Linked DNA regions of Tribolium castaneum. The protein of the gene in region 2 interacts with the protein of the main gene of each other region in a pairwise test. Links are inferred from orthologs where the notes say so. Each region holds a gene or a part of one and is shown on either strand. Other genes may lie near its edges.

Region 1 (8,772 bases), on a different chromosome or scaffold from region 2:
AAATATCTCAAATTACAGTATAAAAATTGACAATAGAAAAATAAAACGGCAATTGCATGTCGATTTGTAACCATACATATAAGAGACATGCACATCAATGTGGCATTATTTTCGACATGTAATTTCAGTTCCGATTCCCATAAATGTTTCAAAACTAATTACGAGCAATTACACTAATTAAGGAATGTACATAATATTTATCCAAACCACACAGGTCTCGGTTGGTTGACTTTTTTTACATAAATATAGTGTTTATTATTCATTTAGAAAATTAACTTAAATGAACCGTAAACTTTGTCGGCTTGATGTCACAAAACATTATATTCTTCCGAGTATGTGAAAATTTCATGTAGTATACTCGGGCCCATTGAATAAAATATGAGCTGGATCGCGTGTTTCGAGATGACACATAGCGACATCTTGACCCTCGATATTCCTCAAAAAGGAATAAATCCAAATAAAGGGAGGGTCAGCCGATATCATAAATAAAATAGCCGTAAGTTATTTCTCTCCGAATTCTGTTGGCGAATAATTCAAAACTTTCCTGAAAGATTTATACACAAACTATACCATCCTAAAAAACTTATTTTTCCCGGTACAAACTCGTAATTTCCATATCATGACAAAAGCCCGTTTGAATTAAGTTGTAATAGTACGTTTAGAAGACACGATTCGTTAATTAAGCGACTAATTGTCTAAATAAATTACTATTAACGCTCACACTGAAAATATTTATACCGACGACCGAGGCGGGAGGGAATTATTATGATGGGCGCTTATTAAGGGAATAAGGTAATTAAGCGAAGGGGAAATCGTTCCGTTTCGTATTTTTGCATTGCAAATGCGTAACTGCGAGGAATTTAAGAGAATACTTGAAAGTGTAATTATCTGCCATTACGGCAACATCACGCGAACTTTTTGGATCAAATCCGAGCGATTAATGAGCGAATTTCAGCTGCAATGGCGCCGACACTTTCCTGTAATTACCGATTTGCCATTTTTGCCGCCCCGAAACGAAAAAATACCACCAAAATGCAAGAAACTCTAGGTAAAAAATCGCAGCTAAATGCTAATAATCCATTATTAAGCTCAAAAATAAAGTAAATGAGGCACGTATTAGTTGCGTACGTGTATGGGCGTCCACTCAAATGCGAAATAATCCGCCATCAATTCGGTACGCGCTTCGCTAATTAAAATTTCCTTTTATGTGCTGACAATTAGATTTTTCTGCTCCACAGATACGTTAATAGCATATAAATAATCGTGTTACAACCTGCACATTATCCGTAATTATATGGGAAGAATGCTTTGATCAGTGAATTAACTTAATTAAAACCTTTTTGTAATTAACGATTGTGTTTCATATTGGACATCAGTCGTGGATTTTTTTTTCGGTGCGAGTGAGAGAACGAGCAGGGGATATTAGTTTCAAAGGAGCCGTCAAATGTCGGTCAAAGTTGCCGCATTGGCGCCTCGAAATCTCATTTTTTAAAGTGTAACTAACTAAGCAGACGAAGGTTCAGACCTCCAAGGGAGTTTTGTTGACACATGTCCACCTAAACGGCCGTTCTGACACGAGGATTATTGTAATCGGCCGTAAAAGGCGGGCTTGCGATAAAATCGCATTCTTTCAACACCTGTTGACTAAATTTTCAAATTAATTAAATCAACTGTGATTAACATATCACTGATTAAAGCATCCAAGAAAGAACTCTTACAGAGAAGTGATGTTATTACTTAATTCGTTATAGGCAATGTGACCCTTTTAAACCACAAATACTGAAAAAAGTTGAGATGTACTGGCACTTTAACTAACTTATAGAAAATCTGTTTCTCCAAATTATACTTAAAAGGATTCACAAAGAAATTTCACAGAAAAACTGGGTCTTTAGTTCAAAAGGCAAGAATAAAGCCATTTCCAAAATACTTCTCTAATTTTTCCAGCTATTATTAAGAAAAATAAATCCAAATAAAAAGTGCTTTTCTGCCTAAAAAATGCACTAGCCGTTCGAAATCTTAATTTCGAAAAAGTGTTTACTAGACGTTGAAAAGAGGGAAAAATAATACTATTTTTGACATAATTTTTTGATTTTTCATAGAAAAATTCTCGAAATAATTGCGTTGAGATCTCAAAAACGTGCAAAACATTGAAAAAAAAACAATAAACGTGATTTTTCAGCTCGAAAACATGCCCAAATGCTCGAAAAAAGCAAGAATTAATAAAACTCTAATTCCTTTATCGAGAAGGTTAAAAAAATGTTTGAGTAAATTACACTTATATAAAACAAAAAAATAACAACATTTTTGACAAATTTTTCCGATATTTCGAGTTATTGTTAAGAATCTTAACGAAATAATTGCGTTGCTGTCTCAAAAAAATGCAAAACGCTCGAAAAAAAGCTGAGGAAGTTGTGACATTTCAACATGATTTAGTAAAAGTCTCTCGAAAATAAATTCCTAGCAAACGTTTAAAAAATTATATTTGACTTAAGTGCAGCCATAATTTAATGTAGAATATTATCTATTACCTATAGCTCTCTCATCGAGAATATTTTTGAGTAAATTACACTCATAATCTTACATAAATACCAGCGAAATCTTACAGAAAAATTATGGCTTTAACTTAAAACAGTGCTTCATTTTCCACAAAATTTTCTGATATTTCGAGTTATTATTGAGAATCTTATCGAAATATTTGCGGTGCGCTCTGAAAAACATGCAAAAACCCTCAAAAAAAGCTGAGAAAATTGATTTCTCACCTTGATTTAGAAGAATCTACTAAAAAATTTCTATAAATTTTAACTTAAAAATGTGCTCAAATGCCTAAAGAAGACAATTATTTATGAAAATCTGGTTCTGTCACCTTAAATACCATGAACTAAGCTTACAATTTTAATAACTTCTAATTTGGAAAACTTGCTGAAATTAATGAGGCAATTAAATTATTAGGTGAGCTCGTCTTAAAAAATTCCGAAATATCAAAAAGTTCTGATCGTTCTCACACCAAACGCATGTACCTATAAATAATGTTACTTTTAATTAAATTAAAGTCAAAATTGCAATAAAAATTTTATTATTTTTACATTAGCAAAATTAAAAAAACTGAGTTTTTAGTTCATAAAAAGCAAAAAGTAATCGTTTTCCATCTAATTTTCTAATTTTTCGGTTCGGTTTAGCAAAACCTTGTGGAAAAAGGGCTTCAGGGCTCGAAAAGAGCAACAGTTCATAAAATTTTAGTACCTTCTGTTGTTTTATGACTTTACCAATCAACAAGCCTCTTCTGCTTCGAGTCCTTTCGTTTCTCAAATTGTGATTACAAAAAAAAAATCGGTTTAAAGCGAGATTTGAAGATTAATATGTTTTCAAAAAAGATCTCTCGAAAGTATTTAGTCCCATCTTTGTGAGCACACATTTTCGTACAATTGAATAAGATTTTTTTCCATACTGTTGTCGCTCTCGTGGGGGTCTGTTTGGGGCAAACAAGGGCGCGTGTCCACCCCTGTCGCAATGAAACGAGTAGGCCGTCCATCTCCGCTAATACATTTACCGATATAAAATAACAAGAAGCCGTCACATTGTGACGCGACCATGTGTTAGAGGAGGTGACGTCCTCTCCGGCGGCGGGTCTCGTTCCGCCCCCCACAGCTGCATCGCGCCCCGTGCCACACAGTGCACCGGAAGCACCCTCGGAAGTTGCTTCGTTCAAACAAAAAAAAATCGCAATTTTTCCGAAAAGTTTTATAAAATCAGAGCCGTCTTATTGTTCACGTGGTGGTCGAGATGTTGGCCATCTTGGCGCTGGCGGCCTGATTATAGTGATAAAAGAGCGAGCCGGGTCTTGATTTGGCCCCCAAAGGCAGAAACTTTTATTTCTTTGACAATGTATATCATGAGGCAGCGACTCATTACTTTTATGGCGAATTAGGCTTGGCAGCGGCCCAAGGGCCCCCGTCCAATGAACATGTTTTGCAAAGAATGGGCTTTTTTGAAATGCTGGCTCGTAAAATGACAGAATAACGTTTGCAGTTTCCTGTCGGCGAGGCTAAGAGTAACGCAATACTTTATTATATCGACGACGACACAGAGGACCAAAAGCTACGACATTCCGGATGTGGCGAATGCTATTGTAGGTGAAGCTTTTGTGCACTTCACTTGCAACAATTGCGGTTTCCTGAATAACCTGTGAGCTTTCCGATCGCTTTGATGTCTTCATACGGTAATTGTGCGATTCGATGCTCATTCTATGCTCCGGGACCCAAATGGAAATCAACTGCTCCGGAATACGTAATTCTATACTATTTCTAAGACGCATTTACTCGCAAACAAACAAATTTTCGCAATTTTCTACTTGGCGCAAACACACAAGGTGGGCAATAGCAAAATCAACAATTCAGTGGAACGCGGTCATAACGAACACCCAAAGAACAATTTTCAAGTTAAAGGAGTTCCAAAGTTTGGAATAGATACAGGAAATAAAGTATAAATAGACTTATTAAAAAATATTACATATTATGATAATAAGGCAAATAAGTCCGATAAGTCCGAGTTTAGAGTTTGGTCGAAAATGACCAGAAATTTACCTTTCCTAGGCGTTTATTCAGCAATAACTCAATTATAAATAACAGAATTATGTCAAAAATGACGAGTTCTGAAAGTTTAAGCACGTTTTTAGAGCAAAAATCAAGGTTTTCTTCATGTTTTTCTTAAACTAAAGTGAAAAAATCACCAAATTTGGTCGGAAATCAGCAAAATTTTACCTTTTCTAAGCGTTTATTCAGCAAAAACTCAATAATTGCGCAAAATTTCTTAAAAAGTAAACCAATAAATCACAGAATTATGTAAAAAATGACATTATTTTTACAAGTTCTGAAAATTTAAACACATTTTTAGACCAAAAATCAAAATTTCCTTTCGTTTTTTATCAAAGTGGAACGAAAAAATCACCAGATTTGGTCGAAAATGACCAAGATTTTATCTTTCCTAAGCGTTTATTCAGCAAAAACTTCATTATTGTGCAAAATTTCTCAATAAATCAAAGACTTATGTCAAAAATGACATTATTTTTGCAAGTTCTGAGAATTTTAACATGTTTTTAGACCAAAAATCAAGGTTTTCTTCCTGTTTTTATTAAAGTGGAACGAAAAAATCACCAGATTTGGTCGAAAATGGCCAAGATTTTACCTTTCCTATGCGTTAATTCAGCAACAACTCAATCAAGTGTGTTATGAATGGGTTCGTTATAAACGGACGCCACTGTATTTTTGCCTAAATATTGGACGTTAAAAGTGATGTTTGTTTGTTCGTTAAAACCGAACCAGTTTGTTACTACAATAGGTATAGGACTTTAAAACGGGACTTATAATTTTGTTTGTTATATCCGAGCGTCTGTTAAAAGCCGGGTTCATTATAACTAATTTTTTTTGAGTTTCACTCACCAAAGCACACACAGCGAAGGACCAGAGACTCAGTAAACACGAAATTTTGGCACAAAACACACTTTTTCACCTCAAATTTGCATTTTTGTCCCACTTTTCACACAAACAAATAATTGCAAATGTCAAGTTGTCAAATTTGCATTTGGGGATTTTTTATTTAAAACAAAAAACGATCGAACGTCGATCAGGAACAAATTTAATTAATTCATTAATAAAAAATATATTTTGTCTTAAGAGTTCTTCGTAGGTCTTACCCAACTTTGTCCAAATATTTTTTTTTACAATTCCGTAGAGATTTAATGAGAAAATAATTAATTAGTTGAGGGGTTGAAAGTGTCCTTGGGAATTTTGCATTTAAACAATTGAGTAACACCTGCTTGGGGGGGAGCTACAGATATTTTATAATCAGGTTTTTTTTTAATTAGTAATCAATAATTAGTGAATGATTCGTTTGGGAAAATGTGCTAACAAATCAAAATTTTATTTTTTTGCCCACCTTTTAGCCGGGCGTCGAACCTAAAAAAAGATCGCTTATCTGTCAAAATATAGGTTACCGGTGATTGTGTAGTGTTGTGAGTTTTTCTGATTCTTTAACAAAAACACTTTTAGACCTTATCGAGGTGAGTAGTGCGAGTGTATGAATGGATCGGTGTAAAAAAAATTCCGATTAATGGCTTTGTCTTGCGGTAAAAAACGACAGAATGGCTTTGAGGTTATGCAACTTTCACGTGTTTTTTGGGCCGATCGGGTTCATGTCTCGCTGTTGTTTTGCTTATTTGGGGATTAGATGACAAAAAAGTTTGTTTTGCGTAATGTTTAGTCGCGTTTTTGCGGGAATTATGTTTTTGTGGGTTAAATCGTGTGTGGGTCCTTGTCGCCACCTGGCGGTGGTTTGCGTGATGACGGGTCGCGGCGTTTTCGAATTTGGTTGAAATTTGAGACGGTTCTTGTTTTAGTAAAAAATTGATTAAATCAGCGAAATTTCGAAATTATAACGGCGGATTTAAGGGCCTGGGGCGCTGTGTGGCAAATTACATTAATATGAAAGTAGGAATTGATGGTAAATTCGAAATTGTAGCCTATGGAACGGTGAGCTTATTATTATGTAGTGCTTTTTTAAAAATGCTGAACGCTCTGCAAAGTCCCTAAGTTACAATTTCGGTATCAGATTGAAAATTGCTATTTTGTGCAAATTAAGTTGCAGTCGGTGATGTGTGTTATTATTTGAACGCATAACCGACGATTTGCATATCGGAAAATGGACGAAAAAGGCGCAGAATGCCAACTCGTGACCTTATCTAAAAGGTGGTTTAATTCGGTCTTGTTGCTCGTGTTGCAGATCATGCCACCTAAAAAGGTACAAGAGCCGGAGAGAAAGCCGCTCATAGGGCGGGTGGGCACCAACTTGAGGGTCGGTATCGTCGGGATACCCAATGTCGGCAAGTCCACCTTCTTCAATGTGCTCACCAAGAGCTCGGCCGCCGCCGAAAACTTCCCCTTCTGCACCATCGACCCCAATGAAAATAAGTATCTTCACCAATTTTTCCCAATCCGAAAATTTTTTTGTTGGCAAAATTTTATTGCGATTTAAAAAGAATTGTTTAGTCTGAGAGCAAAGCGGCTCATTCTACGTATTATACCGGGTTTTTACGAGATTTAAAATTTTGAATTTTTTTGCTTAAAATTTTAATGGTCAACGCAAATACTTTCATAAAAAAAAAATTAAACTCACTCTAGCATAGTTTTATGGACTTTTATATATCTTAACAATCCACTAGAGTTGTTAAAAGTTCAAAAAAAGTTCATATGTTCGATTTTTTTATGTTTAATTTTTCCAATTTTTGTCGCGATTTTGGTTGATTTCGAGTACCCGGAACATTTATCGAGCAATAACTCCGGAACTATGAGAGATAACTCTATGAAGTGTACTATCGTTGGAAAGCTCTTTATATTATCCATCTTTTTTAAAAAAGATCATTGTACTCCGACTAATAGTTTTCGAGAAAATTGCAAATAAAAGCAAAAATTGGTCGAATTAAAAAAAAAATATAACTTAAAAACTATTGAGAATTTGGCAATTTTCTCAATGCCAATCGATTCTCCAGATCATTTTGCATTAGTATGGATTAAAACAGTTACACTTTTTCAAGTAGTTTAGTCGTAATTGAGAAAATAAAAAAAATAAAAAAAAATTAACACCCCTTCCCACAAAATGGCTAATTTTAAAAGTGTCTCAAAATCAAATAAAATCGATCCTATCTTATAGATTTTGATGTGCTCTTTTCGATCTAAAAAAGCGTTTTCTCCTAGCTCTTTTAGTTTGGCTGTAATCGGCGTTTGAAAATTGAAAATTTTTTTGCGAGTCCTATGCCATTTTGTAGAGTTTTTTATTCCGGTTATCCTCCATTTTTCCGTTTCTCGATATCTTTAATAGTTTCGCCGTAATTGGCGATTGAAAATTGAAAAAAAGTGAAAATGGAAACCTTTTTTTGCGTTTTTCTCGGAAACTGTAAGACTTAGAGCAACGAACAAAAAACCATCTGATAGCGCTTAATTTTCTCTATTTTTTCGATTAAACCCGGAGCCGCTCCGGGCAACGGTTCCGGCTACAGAGGCGATCAAAGTTTTTCACTAAAAAAATTCATAAAAAAAAACTAAAAGTCGTAGAGCAATGCGGTTTGTTCTATTGAATTCTGCGGCTCATTTTACATATTATATCAGTTTTTTTACTTCGAAAAATCAAAAATTAATTTATTAAAATAACTTGGGTTAACTATTTATACCCGTCACTGCCAAAGTGACAAAGTGACAATATTTTGCTTGACATTTTTAAACATTTTGGGTGTTTGCGCTTTTAAACTAAACTAAAAATGTCGCACGATTCCGATTACGTGCACAAACGCAACCACCTCACCAACATCACACCTGACCAAACAGTAGTCATCAAAAAAAGTCTTTTTCGCTTCCTTCCTGGCGTCAAATACGAAGAAGACCAAAAAATTTCTCCCCCACCAGCTGGGGAATGGTACCCTTACGTCAATTCTTACTACCCTTTCACCGAAGATGTGGATGCTTACGCTCGTGTAAGTCATTTACTCGAGTCCAAACGTTCGATGGACTCTCTCGATAAAGAACTAACTTATCGAGAAATGAACGAGTACTCGGACCGCAAAATCTACCGACAATTTTTGCGCAAAAAACCCGTTTCGTTCCTGGTTTTGGGCAAGCCTGGCATGGGCGAGGAGGAAATCGGGCGGCGTTTGGCCGAGTATTGGAAATGCGTTTACATCGACCCTTTGACCCTCCTTGAGGAGGAGATCGCGCTTGAGACACGCGC
Region 2 (2,404 bases):
AAAATTCCAAAATGCCATGGATTCAATTAGTTTTTGCTCAAGTGGCCTGTGACTGAAATTAAGTTGGCAACGATGAATAATGTAAGTTACAGAAGTTAATTTGGCAAAATGACTTCTATTGTCTGATGGTTTTGTTAATGAAAAAAAAATCTTTTAAACGCCTACTATTAAATCTCAAGTTTTTATTCATTTTGTTTTAAAACTGAAATAGCTAGTGATTTCTTCTTTTATTTTTAACATAAATACTGTCGGATTTCGAATTTTACAAATAATTATTTCATCATCATTATACAGTGGAATTTACTTCTAGAACAGCTCAAAAATCTCTTCTAGATTAAAGTTAAAAAAAAAACAAAAAACGGATACGTCCATGGCCTGCTATAATTAGAAACCAAACAAAGCGCAATCGTTGACCCTGCGCACACCTCTACCGCCCCGCGCCAACCTTCTGGAAACTTTCCAATGGTTGTCTACCAACGCAAATAAAATAAAACACTACATCAGGTGTACAGTATTTATTGAAAAAATACAATACTCGAAAAACTAACAATAATTTAATATAATCATCGCGTCAACACCATTTCTATCAACACAACAATATCATGAAAGCAATGTCTTCTACCGAGGTGTCAAACAAAATCACAAAATCCTCAAAACTCGCCACTGAACGTCTTTGGAAAATCACAGATTGGGGATTCGAGATCAGTGCTTCGCCCTTCTATTCTGTTCCGTGTTCATCATCTTGGTGACGATTTTTCTGGAATGTCCGCTGGGGTCGAAGTGGTTCGTGTGCTCGCTGACCTCCTTCTTGCTCCTTTGCTTGCCACTGTGGCCGCTGTAGATGTGCTTGTCGTACAAGAAGTTGTAATGTTCATATTCGTCGAAATGAGCTTCGGACATTTTGGTTTTTGCACGAGATTTTTTCACTGTCAAACGTCAATTCAAACAACTGAAGCGGGCCACAGCCGCCTGGGTTTTATACCCGTGGGGACGCACGCGCACTGCTGCCAACTCGAGCGACAAAGTCGCTATTTCCGCCGACTTGACCATAAATTAGTAATTTTTAATTAATTAAAATTAATCATATGCGCATCTGAAGACAGAACAATGGTTTTTTCACTCTTGGAACAGTCAACTCGACTCGGTGCCGCCTGTCCTTGATTTCGCATTTATTTATTTCATTGTTTATTTATTTACTTTCTAAATTAGCGTGGGCGTCTTAGGGTTTTTCTGTTGTATTTTATTGCCAACCAATACACCACGTGAACTTGATGTGGCCATGATATTTTTGCTGACGGTTATAATATAAATTTTTTACTGATAGTCTTGTTTTTACTGCGTCTAAATTATTTTTTCGTAATTCTGTGCAATATTGTTATTTTTTGTTATCATTACCTTCACAAAATAAGGTCACGGGGAAAAAAGTATCGAACGAGATGAAAAAATAATTGATTGCAGTGACCATGTTTTTAACATCAACTTGCACATTTCTGCTTATCTTCTTTCGATAAGGATCTATTTTTACACGTCAAATAGTAATTTTTCTTTCAAGAAATGTATATTTACATGTCTAGCCGCCACTTCCTTAATTATAAGCAGGAGGCAAAAATAAATTTTGGTTTACTTGGAAAAAATAAAAGGAAACGTTCTGGATTATTCTAGAAAAGAATGAACAGCAATTATTAGATTCGAGATTATCATTTGAAAGGTGTTCTAGAACTGGAATAACGGTTTGAATTTCTATAGATTTTTTTATCTGTTTCAAAACCAAAGATGTTTTTGATGTAAGTAATGATGATTGTGTAAGTAAATGCTAAATTAAAAAGCAATTTACGAAGGAATTGATGCAGTTTAAGTAAAAGGAGCTTAAAGTAAAAAAAATATAACGGGTTGTCTAGTTCTCTCGATTTAATTTTATTAATACGAGAAAAGAAAAAAATTAATTGTTAGAAACTATACCGGTGAAAACCTAGCACATTACTACTATTTTTGAGTGTTTTTTTAAAACTTATGTAAAAACTTAAAATCAAAAGTTTTCGCTATTGTTTCTTGAGTAATGAATTTTGTTTAATATGCTCGTATTTTAAAGCAAAAACAGATTACATTTTCCATGTTTCTAGCGTGTTTATTGCCGTTTTACGATGAAAAAATTTAATGCAAACAAGACCTTACGTTGCAAAATTCGAGCATTTTACGCGCTTGTGTTTTATTTATTTCTGTACAAATCCCTACTTTACGTTTTTCTGTAATTTTAGCCGTTTCCCCCGATGTCACAATAAACCTGATTTTGCAGAAATGAAATAATAATAATTTATTTTTGTGATTTTCTTTAAAAACTCTAATTGGGTCAAACAAAACCTGTTCGATTATTTTTGTTTCTGACATATGTCCACATATTAACGAT
Region 3 (8,882 bases), on a different chromosome or scaffold from region 2:
TAATACTATTTGTTTACAGTTCTGACTGAATTTTTAATCATCATAGCATAATAACACAGCGAAGAAGCTCATCCCCACACGTAAACCCGTAAGAACTTCTAGGCCCGATTAAACTTCAGATAAATTTTATCTCTCAGTTAGTTGCTACGGTAGTGCATATCTGATTGGCGTTGCTATGTTTTAACCGAGGTTTAAATTTATTTCTTCGTTAAATATGTTTCCAGAAAATGGACCAAATGTGAACTTTGGAATAAACTACAGGATGCTCAAAAATTGGCACACCAACTCAGTGGTACGTTGTCGAAAAGCTTGTGTACATTACAGGAAAAATCTTAAAAAAATTCCTAGTCATATTTTAAAAAATCGAGCTACCAACTTATTTTCTTAGCTTTTTCAGTTCTCATTATTTTTTAATGTTTTATCTTTCACACTAAATAATCGCTCCCTAACAATACGATGAATGATTACTTTTAAATTTACTATCAGACTAAGTTTCTTGAATATAAAATTTCTCAAAAAAATCACAATTTGTTGATGTGCCAACACTGGAAATTATTTCCTAGGAAACCGTTCCAAAAATACTTATTTTATTGTTGATCAAAATCTATTGCGATCACGACTGTTAGACAGCGTATTGGCCGTTTCAAAATTATAAAAACGCCAACGTCGTATTTTCTCTCAAAATTAGCTGTTATAAATTATTCATGCATTTCAAAAAAATAATAGCTAATGTTAATTTATACCTTCAATGAGAGATCTAATCCCCAATAACCATTTTACAATGTTGTGAATCTTATTTAAAGAAATAATTCGGTAAAATGCGACGTTGGCGTTTTTATAATCTTGAAACAGTTAATCGCCAGATACCATTTATTAAAAATTCGTTATTGTGAAGTTTTGAAGAAAAAAGTTGTTTATGAGTTATTTTTTGACTTTGCAGGAAAATGGAATTAGGAAAGGTCATACTATAACAAAAAGTAATTTGTACTTAAAAATGTATTATACATAAAATAATTATTCACTAAACATGCCATACTCGTGACCACTCAACTTCTCGTGTTGTGTAATTACTAGAAAACACAAAGCTTTAAATCTTATAGATCACCTTATAAAAACTGAAATGAATATGATACTGTAATGGAAATAAAACACTCATGAATCTATTTGGAAAAAATCTTCTAATACGGCCTGGAACGTCCTCCATCGCGACCGCCGCCACGATCCCTAAACATCAAAATTAAAATCTTTCCTACACCAAATTTTGTCACAAATACCTTCCGCCTCCTCCTCGACCGCCGCCGAAACCGCCTCGGCCTCCTCTTCCACCGCCAAATCCGCGACCTCCTCGATCACCACCGCGGAAACCGCCGCCACCACCTCTTCTATCTCTTCCACGGTCACGGTCTCTACCGCCTCCGCCGCCGCCTCCTCTGCGATCTTCACCCCCGGAACCGGCACCTTCCGGCTTATCTTCACTGCATCTATTGCACTGATTCCTCCAAGCAAAATTTGTGTTGCCACAGTCTGGGTTTGGACATTTCCAGTCTCCTTCGCGGCTTTCGCGGTCTCGGCCACCGCCACCACCGCCGCCGCCGCTACCGCCTCCACCACCACCGCCGAAACCTATACCAAACAATTATTGTTTGCCAATCAAATAAAAAAAATGTTTCCCTAGACAGGATACATCAGAAGCAACCAAACTGCTACTGTGTGTTTAATGGGGAATTAATCTGCCCCTTAAAATAAAAACAGATTTTGGCCTATTTTAGACAAATCTGGGTCGGAAGGGGTATTAATTTCTTTTAAAAAAATTGCAAACTCACGTACCTCCATCTCGGCCTCTTGGGCCTCCTCCAAAACCGCCCCCGCGGCCGCCACCTCTTCCACCTCCGCGGCCGCCACCGCCACTCCAATTATCCTTTTTCGTGGCCAACTGTACCCTTATTTGAGTACCACCGAATTCTTTCCCGTCGAACCAAGAAATTGCTGATTGAGCTGCATTGGAATCGTCATACGTAACAGTGGCTTCACCCTTTGAAAGTCCGGTCTGTTTATCTTTATACAACCAAATCTTCCGTTTCTGGGTTTTCTTGTCCATCTAATCGGAACGAAATAATCATTTCAAATTTGTCAAAAATGGAATTCTTTGTAGCAGATTGAATACACTTGTTTGCAAATATTTCTTGCAATCAAGGAATAGCATCTGTCATAATATTGCGACACATCAAAATTGAACTTGGTCAAGAAAGTGAATCCAAGCACAGAGTGCAGGTCGCTGAGTTTAGTCAAATACTTACTTTAATCACGCCAATCGAACCAAAATGTTGAGCAATTTCGTCTTCGGTGAGATTTGGATTCATTCCAGACACAAAAATCGTGTCGACTTGAACCACCAAGTTACTGCCGCCGCCATTATCTGGAAATTAATACGAAAATGATGTCAAGGGTGAAAAATAATAATTTTACTAAAATTAATTGTTGCGCCAACTAACTCAGTTCTCAAAAACTGTTTCACATCTTATGGTGTGTAAAAACAATACTATATACCTTTTCTCTTACTCTCTCACTCTGAATAAACCTTAAACTTGACCATAACGCACCTTGAAATAAATACCAATTTTTTAATTTAAGACCATTGCGTTTTTGATGCCATTTTACCACGCAATGAAGAAAAAAACCTTCTACAAAAAATAAAGTATGCACTTAGCGCTCAAACGGACAGCATTAAAAGTACTCCTCAATCGAAATTTGTCAAATACGTATCACAATATACCCAATAGAACCTTTTTATTTAATACCAATGAATATAAAAGGAAAAACTTTATTATCCTTTTACCTTTAATATATATATATTAAAATCATAGTACCTCATAAAACCATTCGTAACTTTTTGAAATCCCGATGTATAACAGGGTGATTAAAAAATGAAGGATTAACTCTTACAGGGTGATAAAAGACGTTCAGTTAAGCATAATAATCAATTTTTTTTGCAACCGTATTAATTCTTAGTATTTCTTTTTCCTTAGCAACCGTATTAATTCTTGCGCATTTCTTTCCCATATTGTTGAATTCATTCTTAAATTTGGTAAATTATAAATGTTTTATACGTATTATAGGTAGAGAATTTTTTCAATAATTATCTAATTTTATAAAATCTCTCGAGAGATTTAAGATTACTTCATCTTAACCCAAAGATATAACTTTGTAAAAAGCTATATCTAGTGAAGAAAAAAAGGATCACAATTTTTTTTGTCATAGGAACTTTTAGCTTAGTTGGATGTATTCATCACCATCTAAACGATATATAGTCGGAGACTTTTGAATCACCCTGTACACGAGAAAAATACTATTATGTATTCTTTTACCTTTACTCTATCAATAAAAAACAATGTACTCAATAAGACCTTTCTTTTTCAAACGCCAATGAAAATAGAAGGAGATACTAAATATAAATCTTAAAACCACCTATAAAACTAATCCAAAAACTAGATTTAATCAAATGGACCAAAGATTTTCTTTGAGAACATCTAAAGGTTACTGACAAAACATTAATTACTCAAATTTTTAAAATTTGCGAAAAAGAAAATAATAAAGTATCAATGTTAACAACCATATCTAATAAAAAAATAATAATAATAATAATAATAAGAAATATTAGAATCGCAACTGACGTTTAAAATTCTTTATAAAAACTTGACCAATCGAAACCCAAAGATTTTCTAATAAACATTTTCTGTAATGATTTTGTAAGTTACTCCAATGCTTTATATTTTTGTATAAATGTACAAAAAATTGCAAATACGAAAGAAGTTACCTAATCAGCAAAGAGGAAACAATGAAATGTTGCAACACTTTTCGAAGATAAACAACTTGTCAATTATAGCAACGCACCCTAACATTCGCAGGTGAATAGTGGAAGAGCTGTTTACGTATGATTATTTAGTATTCACATTATAATCGCGGGTCTAAGTTTTGAAACAAGTCCAATAATGGAACACCAAATAATCAAAATGTGTGGGAAATTATAAAACGTAAATAAAAATAATGCAGCTCTTCCAAAAACCAATAAAAATACCAATTAAAAAGTGTACAAAAATGCACTGGTCACAGTGACTCAGTGCTTTTACCTTTGTTATAACCACCCCTGTTGCCGCCTCTAAAACAGAAGTAAAACATCAGTAGTTGTCGAGAGAATGGAGGGGGGTGAAAAACACACACTTCACCAACCATTTTGTTGGCATACACATTGTCTTCATCCACGAAGATCACCTATTTCTAGTTGTTGTCACGTCTATGTACGATGTTTACCTTATTTTTAAACTCTCAAAGATTTTATTATACACCTCAATAACATAACAACCATTTAATTGTAGTAACAACCAACTCAACCTTTAAGGACCGTACCAAAAATAAATACCTCAGGAAAAACCACCTGTTATAATTTAACTCAAGTTTTAACGGCCATTTTCGGCCACCAACAACAAACACAGACGTGTGTATTACAACAAAATACTTACACTATTTAAACTCTGTAAGCAAACTGATATTAATACAGTTTCAACGATTCTTTGACAATAAATACCCATTCATTCATTTTTTATCATTTTACTACCTCCCATCCAAAGTGTAATACCAACAAAGTAAAAGAACAAAAACCGATAACTTACCCATAAGAATCACGTCGATCTAGAGGCCTTTTGTCAAAATCGCCACGGTCTCGGCCTCCTAAACCAAAAATAATTAATTACAAACAACACACAAAACTATGAATGTACCTCCATAGCCGCCACCACCGCCGCCGCCATAACCGCCACTATTGCCGTAGCCACCGCCTCCGCCAGAGTTGTAACCACCTCCTTGGTTATAACCGCCGCCGCCACCTGGAACAATTGACGGTAGTATAGCAAAAAAACAAAACAATTCTTTCAAAAGTAATGTATAGGCGAATGTCTACCCCTTCTCATATCAAGATAAGAAGGGACTATCAATTCCCTAATTATTCTGCGACATAGTAGGAGGTTTCAAGTTTATTAAACAAACTCAAACCATGCCTATGTCGCCCCACATCACTGTTTCTTACCTTGACCGCCGCCATAGCCGCCGCCAGACGAGCGTCCTTGATTCCAAGATCCGCCGCCGCCGCCGGCACCTCCACCTCCCCCGCCCGGGGGGTTGAAACCGCCGGTCGGCGGTGCCCCGTACGTATTGGGATACGCAGTACTGGGGGGCGGTTGGGAATAGTCGGCGTACGATCCTGCAAAAGTGGTTTGTACATAAATTACCCAAATAACGAAAAATCGATAATAATGAAATTAGAGCAAGCCGACGTGAAAAATGCGAACTACCACAACTTCGTAATGTGTTAAGTAGTCGAAATTTGAATACACGAGGTGATTTCGTACAGGGATGAGCGAGATTTTTTAAAAATCGGGATACTTACGATCGCCCATCTTCTACCGTTGGGATAATCGAACAAACAGGAGGAAAATGGATGCGAGGGAAAAGACGCTACGGATTGGGGGCTTGTGATTGGTCGGCGCTAACAGCCCTGCCAACCCCACCAAAAAAACACACTAAATAAAGCACGCCAAAATATTAAATTTTCCACAAACAACCTTGTTTTATATTCTCAGTTCCACTTGAATACCGTCGAGGTACTTAAAAACAACATTTGTGATGGATATAAATTGTAATAATAAGTTTGTATGAAACACAGCTGGAGAACTTGTTGTGGCAGCACTGAAAACCTTATCAGAGTTCAGGGTCGGCCTAAGGGCATTTGTAGGCCCTCAAATTTATTATTTTTTGATAATCATGAATTTAATTAATCTAGTGGTGCTAGCTTTGCTAAAACGACCAGTAAAAACTTAATAAAAATAACAGTCTGTTTATTTTCAAAAATAATAAACAATAAATAATAATAGATCTTAAACCTAGGGTAAGTTGGAATTATTCACAATCCAAAGATCTTCACGAATTTGAGTGTTGGCTGGGCGTTAGGCCCCCACTGTGTTCAGGACTGTGTTTCTGCTTTTTTCTCTTCTTTTCCTTTTTCCTCTTCTTCCGTTCTTTATCTTCGTCGTGTCGTTTCTGTTTTTTATGCTTCTTCTCGTGTGTATCACTTCCAGCATCGGTAATGGTAGTCTCCTGACTTGGAAGCCCCCCATCTTTGTGTTTGTGTTTTTTGTGTTTATTTTTATGCTTTTTCATAGGCGCCGCATTTGCGTAGCGGTATTGTTCAGGGAGCTAAAATCCAATACTCAACAAAACACATTAAAGGGAAATTATCAAGCTTACCGCCCCAGGGTGTAGTCTAAACCCATCCAGTTGGATGCTAGTCAATGGTAACAACTCCTTGCCCCCAATTGGAGGCTTCTCAATCACTGATCTTAGCGAACTGTTATCATGCTGTCCAGGAGAGTCAATAACGCCAGGCAAAGTTGGCAAAAACGAAGATAACTGTTCCTTGAGTTTTTTCCCACTGAATTTGCTGTAAGAGTGCTCAAGGCCATAATAGGCCATCAAATTCGTCGCTCCTGTTAGTTCCGACTCTCCTACAACCACCGTCCGCGTGATTTAAACGACTTCAAGCCTTGTCTTGCTTACCTGGAGGCTCTTTCATCAAATAGAAAGGTCCACTAGGGACAATTGAAGGGTTCTTTCCTAACAAAATTGTCGTTTTTAATGTTCCTGACGAATCCTGACGTGAAACGACAGGGGAACGAGCCCCTCTAGGCGAAGATTTGGGCGAATATTGTTCCACTTTACGAAACTGATCGCCCATCATCTTACAACTTCATCGTTTTGCAACAACGATGCAGCTGGAAATGGGAAATGTCACTTCAGCATCACGTACCAACACAAAATCGTCAAACAAACAAACAAATCAATTGTTACCCTGGTAATTTTCACGGTCTGGCGTTTGGAACCCTGCTAGTTTGGTAACTTTAGGTTTAGTTTGGTTGGCGAGATTGTGCAATTGTTACTGTTGCTAAGATACCGCGTCGAAGCCGCCGCCCCCAAAACATTGCTGGTTTTCTCAGTGAAAACATGCGTCTTTTGTGAAAAAAGTGGTTTGAGTTAACGAAAATGGGTTGTTGCGAGTCGAAAAAGGAGCCCGAGCGGGAAGAACCCGCTCAGAGAGGGTGCACCGACGTGTTTTGGTTGTGTTTGTACATTGCGTTTTGGTTACTAATGGTAAATAACCTTGATTGGTGTGTAATTTGCCTCATTAATATTTTTAGGTTTTAATTGCGGCGTTCTCCTTTGTCTACGGCAATCCCATCAGAATTATAAACGGCTATGACTCATTTGGGAACATTTGCGGGACAAAAAATAACAGAAAAATGTCCAATTTGGAAGTATCAGGACTGGACACTTCAGACAAACAATTTTTGCTCTTCTACGATATTAAAGAGCTGAAACAGTCGCTGAAGATATGCGTAAAACAGTGTCCCACGGAGACGTTAAAAAAAGTTGAAGATATCCAGAAATATTACCAAAAAACTGGCGTCAGTTTGTGTAGATATGATTTTAATTATGACGATTTTAAGAACAAGAGTATTGCGAATAAGGAGATTCTGAGTAGCTATTTAGGGCCGTGTCCGGCACTTCCTATTTACGAAAGGTATTTCCCCTAAACTTGTGTTCTATAAAGATAAAACTGGTTTTCTAAAGCACCCCAGTTCTCAACCGTTGCGTTCCTAAATCATTCCAAGATGCAGGCGAAGCAATTTTGAGCAATTTTTACGAAGCTTTGAACAGTTGGGACACACTTGAGCAAATTTTGGGCGACATATACAGCACCTGGAAGGAAATCCTTTATTTAACGTTTTTATCACTATGTGAGCCTTTGGATAGTCACAGGAAAATTTGTACAGTTTGATTTTCAGTTTTTTCGCTGTTAACTATCTCAATACTGCATCTACTGGCCCATTTAGTGTCGTACATAATCATGATTTTGTTCACAATTGCGAGCATCTTGGGCACAGCGTTTTTGTGGTACACTTATTTTGATATTAAGTATGATTTGGATAAGACGAACAAACACATGCTTTTGATGGAGTCAATTCGCAACGAAACGGCCTTTTTGTGGTACTCAATCATCGCCACCGTTATCACAGTAAGAGAAATAATTAAAACTTATCGGGATGTCGTTCATATAGTGAACGAAATAGCCTGTAAAATAACTCAAAATAGTCCGTAAAGTAGTGGAATACATACTTTTCTAACGAAATCGAGAATCAGCCTGCAAACCGACCCATATAGTTTAAAATGTACCTTCTTTATTTTCATTTTCTAACACTTAATTTTTTTCATTGATTACGATACAAGGTGAATTTGAACGTAATACCATTGGGAGCTTATTCTATAGAATTAAGTTTTTTGTAATAGAAAGTGAAGTTAACAAGGATTGTTCCTAATGTGTATAATGTCATTTGCAAAATGTTTTAAAATTTACATGATTTGAGGAATTATCTTGACACTGAAATATATTTTTTAACACTTATAACATAACGCTGCTCTACATAATACACTTTATGGACTATCTTGTCTTGTCTGTACTGACTACTCATATTTATAACTACGGGGATTTCAGTGCCGAAAAATACTATTTTACGGACTGTTGTGGGTTACGTGTGCTATGTAAGTTTTGGGATTTTTTTACTTTAGGTACATTTATGCAAATTAAATCTACATCTAAAATAATGGTACAGTTTTTGTGTAACGTATTGTGTTTTTTGGACGGTGTTTATGTTAACTTTTCTTATCTTTTGTTATATATTCTGCGTCTTAGTTGTGCTGCTTTTCAAGCTTCCCATTCATATATAATAATAATAATTCATATAATATTGTGTTCAAAAGCCCACATAAAATTTTTG

The links.
Region 1: the proteins of nuclear protein 1 (region 2) and Ran interact in a two-hybrid assay, tested with the Homo sapiens proteins (2 studies listed by BioGRID and IntAct). The link is inferred for Tribolium castaneum from reciprocal best matches to the Homo sapiens genes NUPR1 and RAN.
Region 3: the proteins of nuclear protein 1 (region 2) and RNA-binding protein cabeza interact in a two-hybrid assay, tested with the Homo sapiens proteins (2 studies listed by BioGRID and IntAct). The link is inferred for Tribolium castaneum from reciprocal best matches to the Homo sapiens genes NUPR1 and FUS.

The regions. Positions count from the first base shown.
Region 1 is NC_087395.1:25,443,008-25,451,779, reverse strand, and holds the start of Ran (GTP-binding nuclear protein Ran), read right to left. Parts: upstream 5,568-8,772; 5' UTR 5,436-5,567; intron 1-5,435. Other genes in the region: adenylate kinase 9, read left to right, coding at 8,306-8,772. UniProt on the Homo sapiens protein: GTPase involved in nucleocytoplasmic transport, participating both to the import and the export from the nucleus of proteins and RNAs. Switches between a cytoplasmic GDP- and a nuclear GTP-bound state by nucleotide exchange and GTP hydrolysis.
Region 2 is NC_087399.1:2,801,017-2,803,420, forward strand, and holds nuclear protein 1, read right to left. Parts: upstream 978-2,404; 5' UTR 901-977; coding exon 703-900; 3' UTR 501-702; downstream 1-500. UniProt on the Homo sapiens protein: Transcription regulator that converts stress signals into a program of gene expression that empowers cells with resistance to the stress induced by a change in their microenvironment.
Region 3 is NC_087395.1:19,586,186-19,595,067, forward strand, and holds RNA-binding protein cabeza, read right to left. Parts: upstream 5,568-8,882; 5' UTR 5,451-5,567; coding exon 5,441-5,450; intron 5,255-5,440; coding exon 5,081-5,254; intron 5,072-5,080; exon of another isoform or gene 4,993-5,071; intron 4,881-4,992; coding exon 4,776-4,880; intron 4,726-4,775; coding exon 4,668-4,725; intron 4,157-4,667; coding exon 4,128-4,156; intron 2,417-4,127; coding exon 2,298-2,416; intron 2,099-2,297; coding exon 1,828-2,098; intron 1,624-1,827; coding exon 1,275-1,623; intron 1,225-1,274; coding exon 1,179-1,224; 3' UTR 979-1,178; downstream 1-978. Other genes in the region: MED19 (mediator of RNA polymerase II transcription subunit 19), read right to left, coding at 5,971-6,246, 6,298-6,554, 6,607-6,787; Ctl1 (choline transporter-like 1), read left to right, coding at 7,090-7,197, 7,245-7,627, 7,678-7,844, 7,893-8,122. UniProt on the Homo sapiens protein: DNA/RNA-binding protein that plays a role in various cellular processes such as transcription regulation, RNA splicing, RNA transport, DNA repair and damage response. Binds to ssRNA containing the consensus sequence 5'-AGGUAA-3'.